Danio rerio: one gene and its partner. The protein of the gene in region 1 interacts with the protein of each later gene in a pairwise test. Links are inferred from orthologs where the notes say so. Each region holds a gene or a part of one and is shown on either strand. Other genes may lie near its edges.

What was found.
Region 2: the proteins of top1a (region 1) and btbd2b interact in a two-hybrid assay, tested with the Homo sapiens proteins (2 studies listed by BioGRID). The link is inferred for Danio rerio from reciprocal best matches to the Homo sapiens genes TOP1 and BTBD2.

Annotation. Positions count from the first base shown.
Region 1 is NC_133186.1:27,367,403-27,371,655, reverse strand, and holds the start of top1a (DNA topoisomerase I, like), read right to left. Parts: upstream 3,057-4,253; 5' UTR 2,937-3,056; coding exon 2,904-2,936; intron 2,511-2,903; coding exon 2,486-2,510; intron 1-2,485. UniProt on the Homo sapiens protein: Releases the supercoiling and torsional tension of DNA introduced during the DNA replication and transcription by transiently cleaving and rejoining one strand of the DNA duplex.
Region 2 is NC_133177.1:60,990,711-60,995,096, forward strand, and holds the start of btbd2b (BTB/POZ domain-containing protein 2), read right to left. Parts: upstream 2,833-4,386; 5' UTR 2,809-2,832; coding exon 2,285-2,808; intron 1,908-2,284; coding exon of another isoform or gene 1,817-1,907; exon of another isoform or gene 1,620-1,816; intron 460-1,619; coding exon 340-459; intron 265-339; coding exon 108-264; intron 1-107. Other genes in the region: protein unc-13 homolog A, read left to right, coding at 1,817-1,907.

The DNA of each region.
Region 1 (4,253 bases):
ACATGCAAACCTAATGTAAAAACAGCCCTTGAACAGGACTGATGGGATGTGTTATTAAATATGTAATTACAGTTCAGTTTTCATTTATAATGCATTGTAAGCAGACAAACATTGTGTGCAGATACGCACAAAACCTGCAAAGCACAAAGAAACAATTTTCACGCTGTGTCACCGTTTATTAAATAGTCTAATTTTATTTGTGACAGACACTGATTTACTTTTTTTTTATCTCCCTATAGTGACAACCACAGTGGCATGGTGTGAACAGGCAGTTCATGTATTAGCACAGCAATGGTTAAATGCTCATAAACGCTCTGGAGGAAAGCAGAATATTCACCAGAAGCATCATGCTCAGAGTAAGAAATGGGGATGAAGGGAGCGGAGAAAAGGGTAAAATAAGATTTGAAATAAAAATATTTCATGAGATTACATGCATAATTATTGTAGGTTTTATTTTTATTTTGGAAACTCTGTGGCACTTTTAAAACACTGAAGCAGAAATAATTTGCCAACTCTCATATTTCCCAGTTGGCCAAAAAATTAATTATCAAAGTGCAACAAAACAGCATAATGGCTGGCTGTCAAGTTCAGCTGTGATTTTGCTTGGTAAAAAAGGAGCGAAGGAAGAAAAATATATTTGAACTTCCATTATTGTTTTTAATATCGATTTGAGTATATATAAAAAAACTACTACTAACAATATATAATAGACAGTGACCAAAATGTTACTAATGGCCTAAAAAAAAAGGAAATGAATTTATAGATTACACACTTGATTATCAGTTCTTGTGTCACAGAGAACTAAAATGTTACTAGGGCTGCGCAATATATCGTTTCAGCACCAATATCACAATGTGCTAATACTCAATATTCACATCTCAAGACATGCAATGTTGAGTCTGGATTATAGTTAACCGAGTGGCTACAGAATTGTATTTAATTACTGTATTTATACAGAATTCTTACTTTTTTTTTTTTACACATAAATTTCAACACAAAAACAAGATTTTACTTGTTTGTTAAGATTTTATCCACTGAGAGAATTTAGCTTTAAAAACTTTTTTTTTAATAAATTAAAATTTTAAAATAAAACTATATTTTTACTTGAACTGAAAAGGTTTTGCTATTTGGACTAGAAATGAGACGAACCAAAGGAAGAAAAGCATTTTTTTGCATTGTGATAATTCAATTTCTGTACGTGAATACTGTTAGACTCCCCAGAAAACCAGCAAATAGAGCTCTTCAAACCAATATTTAATTGCAGAACCATAAAATATCACAATATCAGGTTTTTTCAATATTGGGTAGGCCTAGATGTTATCAATACACAATCAATACTCCTTTACGGTTAACAGATAATGCAGTTAGATCATGTGATCAAATGCAAGCACTACATTCTTAAATTTCTTCTCATTAACATAAAAACAACTAAACTGATCATAATGCATTAAATAATATACAAGTATTAAAATCTTTTAAACTGAAAATGTATAAAAAAAGGTCAAGTATTTTTCATTTTATTGTTTCATTGCCACCTCGGGTTTACAAGAACTTGTTATAGTAAAGTTATGGACCTAAAACGTTAACAGACATTTGGTGCATGGACAAAAGAAATGTGTCAGGTGTTAAAGTACTTTAGTTAATGCCATGGCAAGTTAAAACTATATAGAAAATGTTTTATTATAAGTTTTATGTAAAAACAAACAATTTATAATTGTGTAAATTGACAATTTATGTCTCTGAATGACCATGTTTTGAACCTGCATGACCCAACTGATCTGACCAATGACACTGTGAAATCAGGTTTAGGACCAATGAAATCCCTCATTAGCGGTTCGTTTAAGTTTACTAAATCTGGATGCAATTTTTAATTTTTTTTACGCATATTTAATTACAGCACACATCAAGACAAAAAAAACGTGCATCATAGCCAATTCCTGAATAATTACTTACTGATTTGATTTGTGAACATTTGTTTTATTTCATCACATTTTATCGATTTAAGATGTATTTGAGGTCGACATGTTTATTTTGGTGAGAGGATTCAGAACAGGTCACCCACGTTTCTCAATCCTTCGCCTCCATAATCACGTCGATGTGCACTTAACGTTCACTACACTCAGACCGCTAGACAGAGAAAAAGAAAATGGCGCAGAGACTAAGTCCTCAACCCCCAAAACCTCACTTTCACAAGCCTCGTTTGCTTATTGTCCATCTTCCAAAAACGCTCAAACGACGCCAACTGACAAATAATCTCTTTCTCTTTCGAAAGAGACATTTTTTGTTGGTTTTGAAGCATTGTAAAAGCGTTTTAAAAGGGCTCAATGTGAACAATAGGCGCTTGTCAGTGAGCGAGAGGGGACTTAGTCTCTGGGACGCCATTTCTGTCCTTAAAACTAACTGGTCGTCAAGCAAGCGTTAGAGGTTTAAAACGTATGAAATTGTATTTTAATCACAACGTGGCGATTAGACGAATCCCACTCACCATTATGTCTGGATCCCGAGTCGATCTGCGGAAAAACAGTGGTGTACAGTTAATGTTAAATCGTGCCATGTCAATAGGCTGCTAACTTTCAACTTGATGCTAGTCGGCGGTTAGCGCTCAAGCTAACAAGCCTGTTCATACAACAACGTTTAAATACCACCGCTGCGAGGGACAGAAGAGCATACAAAGTTTGTATTCCCAAAATGAAGTCTTTGATAGGGGACATTATTAAAAGTAAAGCCGCGAGTGATAGAAAATACTCCATTAACACAATCAAAGCCGACTTCCACTGTCTGTTAGCTTAGCATGCTGGTGGAAAACTGCCGCTGCGGATGGAATTTAAACAGCCGAGCTAGTGACTACAAAGCATCAAGAAAGAAAAAAGATAACTGACAACCACAAAGCACAAACACTTTACCTGGGAATCGTTGTGGGAATGGTCCCCACTCATTTTTATGGGTCTTGTTTTTAAAATAACACAGTTAAAAGCCTGTTAATATAAAATGCCGGCGAGGAGCTGTGGGCAGAATGAAGAAAGACACAGTTGTGTAACAGACCAAGCCCGAATTTCAAACCACTGCGCATGTCAGACGCGTTTAAAAGGATAAAAAGGCGTTTTTCCTGGCCTTGACTCCGCCCACACTGTGTTCGCGCACGGCTCCCCTCTGTGACGTCACTCCAGACTTACTATGGAGCCACGTGGTGCCAGTAAAGAGAGATTTGAAACAGTTATAACAACGATTATTACAATAAATAATCATTATTATAACAACAACCGAAATAAAAGTAGTCTAAGTAATAATGGTAATACAGTAACAATATGTTTAACATTTGATATAATAATATCCACATGTGAAAGTGTACTATCACAAAAAATTCCAGTCAATCTTTTGACAGACACTTGTTTAAAACCATTTACTGATGAGAACAATAAGTAATCAAAGACAAAGATTTTCAGTCTTTAAAAGACCCTCATATATGATCATTCTTGTGCTAGGGACTCCAATGCGAATGTAGGCTATAATATGAAATCCTTCTGCTTTTGTAATATAAGACACTTTTTAAATATTAAATATTGTGGGTATAAAATATTAATTGCATAATATAATAATGACTAATTAAAATAATACAATAAATAGTATTGAAAATAAATATTTGTTTATATATTTTAATTACATGGTTTTTGTTATTTATTTGTTTCTTTTATACTAAAAGACCTTGCATGACCAAAGACCACCTTTTGTGCTAAATCATCCTTAAAGTTCAACTAAAAAAGACACTATGAAAGACCTGAGAGTAAATTAAAAGCCCATTTTAACTTTTGGCTGAGGTGAACTGTTTGTTTTATTCCTAAAAATGTTGCTTTAAGTCATATTAACTAACGCAGTATAAATTGTAACATTTTATACTGAACTAATAGAGTAACAACATAAACAATCTTATTTATGACTAAATGGAGTTCAAAGGAGAATACAGTGAAGCTGCACCTGCCCTCACCTTGATTTGCTCGTAGAAGACTTGTGCGTTGTCCTCTATCTGTGTCAAGAGACAGTTTTCACATTTTAAAAGTGAACATTTACAACATTTAATCCTATCATTTAATTTCAGGTGGGGTTTTTAGCTCAGCAATAAAACAAAGAAACAAAAGACTACGTTCAATTCAAAATGACGATCTCTGTCCAAAGCATCCGCCCCACCACCTCCCCATCATTCTCCCTCTCTATTCAGATGGTATGGCGAGCCAAATCAAAGGTTACCATGGGCCAAC
Region 2 (4,386 bases), on another chromosome or scaffold:
AACAGGTCACCGGAGGTTTATCAGTATGGGAAACACACCAGCTCACTAGGCATATACCCCATTTGCACAAAATGAAGGGTAATAAATACATGCTTAACAAAACATACTTGTGTAAGCAGCATGAACGCATTATCCGCTCGTAGGTTCTTCTTCAGAAACTCCACACAGTGTGCCTCTAGAGCCGGAACAGCGTATTTTTTAGCCGTGTAGAGAGTCGTCATCACTGTCTCGGGTCCGATATGAACTTCATCAGAGTACAGGAATCTGAGGAGAAACAAGATCTGCATATTTCTGGAAAGTGTAACGCATGCGTGCCGAAAAGGAAATAAGATGTCATACTTAAGCAATGAAAGGAATGCAGCAGGTTCTACATCCGGGAGCTCGATCTCTGTGGACGTGGTGGCCATGCCTCCATTGAACATGGCATCAAATACTGCACTGCCAACCGCCAGAACAAACCTGCAACAGAGAACATTAGATTTTAGATATTTAGAATACTTTTTAAGTACAAGAAATAATGCATTTATAATATTTGTATTCAATAAATACTATTTTAATAGGGTATATGCCGAAGCATGCTAATAGGACTTTTAATTTGCCAGTAACCTGGGTTAACTGATTCCGGTGAACTGAATGCCACTGCAAAATTAGTGCGTTTAAGATATGGTTTCTTTAAAAATCTCCACTGCCTGAGTGATATCTGATATAAAGTGGGTCTCAGATTGTGCAAGAAGCACTGCATTAAATTACATTTCCCCCATGCATGTCTTTATGAGCATTTATTTTGCCTCAGTATATTCAATGGAGCTTCTGCACTAACCTGTGGATTCTGACAGGTGTGTGCGAGTAAACAGCTTTTTGTCTAGTTTTACGCTTGAGCAACTAAATGAATGCCAAAGTCTGTTTAACTGAATGTATTTTAATTACATTACAACATCCATGCTGTAAAAGGAACCATGTAAAATGGAAAAAACTCACAATAGCAGGTCACCGGACGATTATCAGTATAGGAACAACACTGGCTCGGCATATACCCTATTGCAAATAAGCATTGAATTGTTATCTTTTTAATAAATGCAAGTTAAAAATGTAAACGTAATTTAATGATAATAACAAAACCAGAAAGAGAAAATCTAAAGAAAACGAGAACATGTCAGCTAATGAAGTAAAAAACAGGACATTTTTTAAATGCATAATAGTATATACTAATAAAAATTCATTATAAAATCAGATGAAAAAATAATATAACCATGTCAGCTAATAAAGTAAAAAGCAACAACAATGGGATGAATTTATAGAGTAATTTTAATTATTTACATTAAAGTTTTAACGTTTAAGACGTGCATAAAATGAGACATTTGTTTTAGTAATTATATGACAAATAATTATAATTACCATAATAAATTCAACTGTAACAAACAAAACATTTAATAAATTTCATTACAAAACTCTCTATAATATTTACACTATAACAGTATTTGTATACTTTTGCCTTTCAAATTAATATCTTAACTTGATTTCTAGTTTAGTAATTACACAAAAACGTAGGTAGTAAATAAATAAATAACTGAACACCACACACTTTGTTTTTATAAAATACCAATGTTATTGGCTCTCCTGTGTCACGTGACCAGGCGCGTGCGTGTTATGTTTGATTGCCAGCTGAATTTTTTTTAGCAAAAGAAGTTGTCAATCTTAATCCTTTGGTCAAAAAAAGCCATAAAATGACTTAGTAAAATATTGTAGGAGACAGTGTTATGATAGATAATGCCGTTTATAAAACTCGACAGCAACAGTCCCATCCAAATTTGTTATTATGCTGGAAAGTGCGCATGAACATCCCGCGAAACATTTCCTTTTGTGTTTCACGGATAAACAGCCAGTATGCAGTTCGGGAGGATACGAAGGTGAGTACATAAGATTTAATTTAACTTTCTGCCACAAAGAGATTGAGGTAACGTTAAAGTTGGTTTAATAATCGCACATTCATTCATTTTTGAACAGCGACAACTTTGCCATGGTCCCCTAACTTAGATTGTTTACACCCCTACTTTGAATATTAGGACTGAAATCGTATGCAAGTGTGACTTAAGAACAGCATTAGCACTATTTAATTGACTGTGAACAATGCTGTACGTTGATAGTCTGCTAATATGTTTCACTATTTAGAATTCGCAAACAACACATTTCTGAAATGATATTAGCGTTAGTAAGCGGAAAGTCTGAAGGTGCGAAAATAAAACCAACTTTAGCCCTTTAGCAATGAGTGTATTAAAAGAGTCACCTGTGCGCAGGTATCCGCTGGACTCCCATTCCTTTACCCACTAGAAAGTGAACGTCACTCAGTACTTCATTATTGAACAGAAACGCAAATCTCTCTTTCACGGTGCTTTTCGTCGCCTGCCAGTTATAAACAGGCTCCCGGTACACAAGCACGGCGGCAGCGGCTGGTGGAGCGGACAGGGCTGAGTGTGTGGCGGCCGCCGGTGTCATCGCTGCGTTAGACGGGCTCCCTGTCATGTTCGAGGCGGCCGGAGCCAGCGGGCCCACCACCGCCGCGGCAGCCGGGACAGCGTTCATCAAGTTCGGCGGAAGTCCCGACGCGACACCGGGGCTTTCAAGGGCCTGAGGCCCCGGTTGAGGATTTGAGCGTCTCGTTACCCCCTGAGAGCCTCCACCGCCCCCGACCGATCCTCCGTGACTCGCCGCCAATGCGAAAGGGCTGTTGCTCGGTTGACTGTTACCCAAAGGTCCGGGCACCGAGAAATTTAAACACGGAACCCGACCGCTATTGTCTCCTGTAGCCATCTTGGACCGAGGCGCGCACCCGCTGAATGAGTAAACAAATCGCGCGCACTGTCAACATCCGGTCCGAAGGGCACATGTGTGGAGTTTTATGTCAGATTTATTATTAATAAAATAGTAATAACTAATTGAATTTTGTATTTATATTATATATATATATTGTTTAGTTTTTATTTATAATTTAAATAAGTTTTTTTACATCTAAACACAACAGAGGTATAATGTAATGTTAATGAAATTATCTATAAATTAAGGAAAACATGCACATATGCGCTACATTAGTTATATTCAGAATAGCACACACTGTTATTATTATTTCAGCAGTACATTTTATCTGATGGTTTTGTACATAAACGCCTGTGGTGTTAAAACACCACAAACTGTCTCATTATGAAAAATAAAACTGATAAACAATTTCCATAACTCGGCGAGGTTTGTAATTGTCCTGCAGAGTGTTCAGAGCACAGTCATTATAATGTAGGAGATGGAGTAATCCAGAAATCCTTTGTGTCTCCCTCATAAAAGCACATCTTCGTTGTACCACGAAACAACTGAAGGCTATGCTAAAGGATGATGGATAACATGAATAAATGGTCTGTTGTCTTATATCCACTGTTTACCTTGCTCACTGTCCGTATTGTGTGTCCGTGTATTCATGAAAGTGACAGAATAAAAAGATATACAGATGATGAATGCTCGTGAACGCGACGACGCCCCCGAGCGGACGTCAGGAGGAGCGCGCCAATGACGTCACACCTTCACAGCTGCCGCAGATGCGGCGTTTCTGCGTGAAAAAAAGCCAAGGCGTGAAGCTGGAGTCCGTATAATCACTTTGAGCCTTTGCAAATGCAGTTAGAGAAGGAAACTGCCCAGATATATCCACACAAAGTGCTGCTCCTACATTTCACGAGCTTCCAGTAAAACTCCACACAGAAACGCCAACTGACCCAGCCGAGGCTCAAACCAGCGACCTTCTCGCCATTAATATACCATTGTTCATATAATTCAAATTAATTAATTAATTTTGCTTCGGCTTAGTCTCCTTATTCATCAGGAGTCACCACAGTGGAATGAATCGCCAACTTATCCAGCATATGTTTTACACAGCAGATGCCCTTCCAACTGCAACCCAGTACTGGGAAACAGTATACTCACTCATTCACACACATACACTTATAAGTGTATGTGTGAATGAGTATGGGTGTTTCCCAGTACTGTGTATATACTGTGTATGTATGTATGTATGTATGTATATATATATATATATATATATATATATATATATATATATACATATATATATATATATATATATATATATATATATATACATACACACACACTGGGACCTATTTAGTTCATTAATTAAAAAGAAATAAGGGTAATGCTTTCAAATACTGGTCTTTTAGTTCAGGCCCAAAGCCAGGAGTGGGTTCAGGTGGTTCGAAGAAGCTCATTTGTCCCATTTTTGACTGCCATACCATCATTCATTCATTCATTCATTCATTCATTTTCTTTTCGGCTCGGTCCCTTTATTAATCTGGGGTCTCCACAGCGGAATGAACCGCCAACTTATCCAGC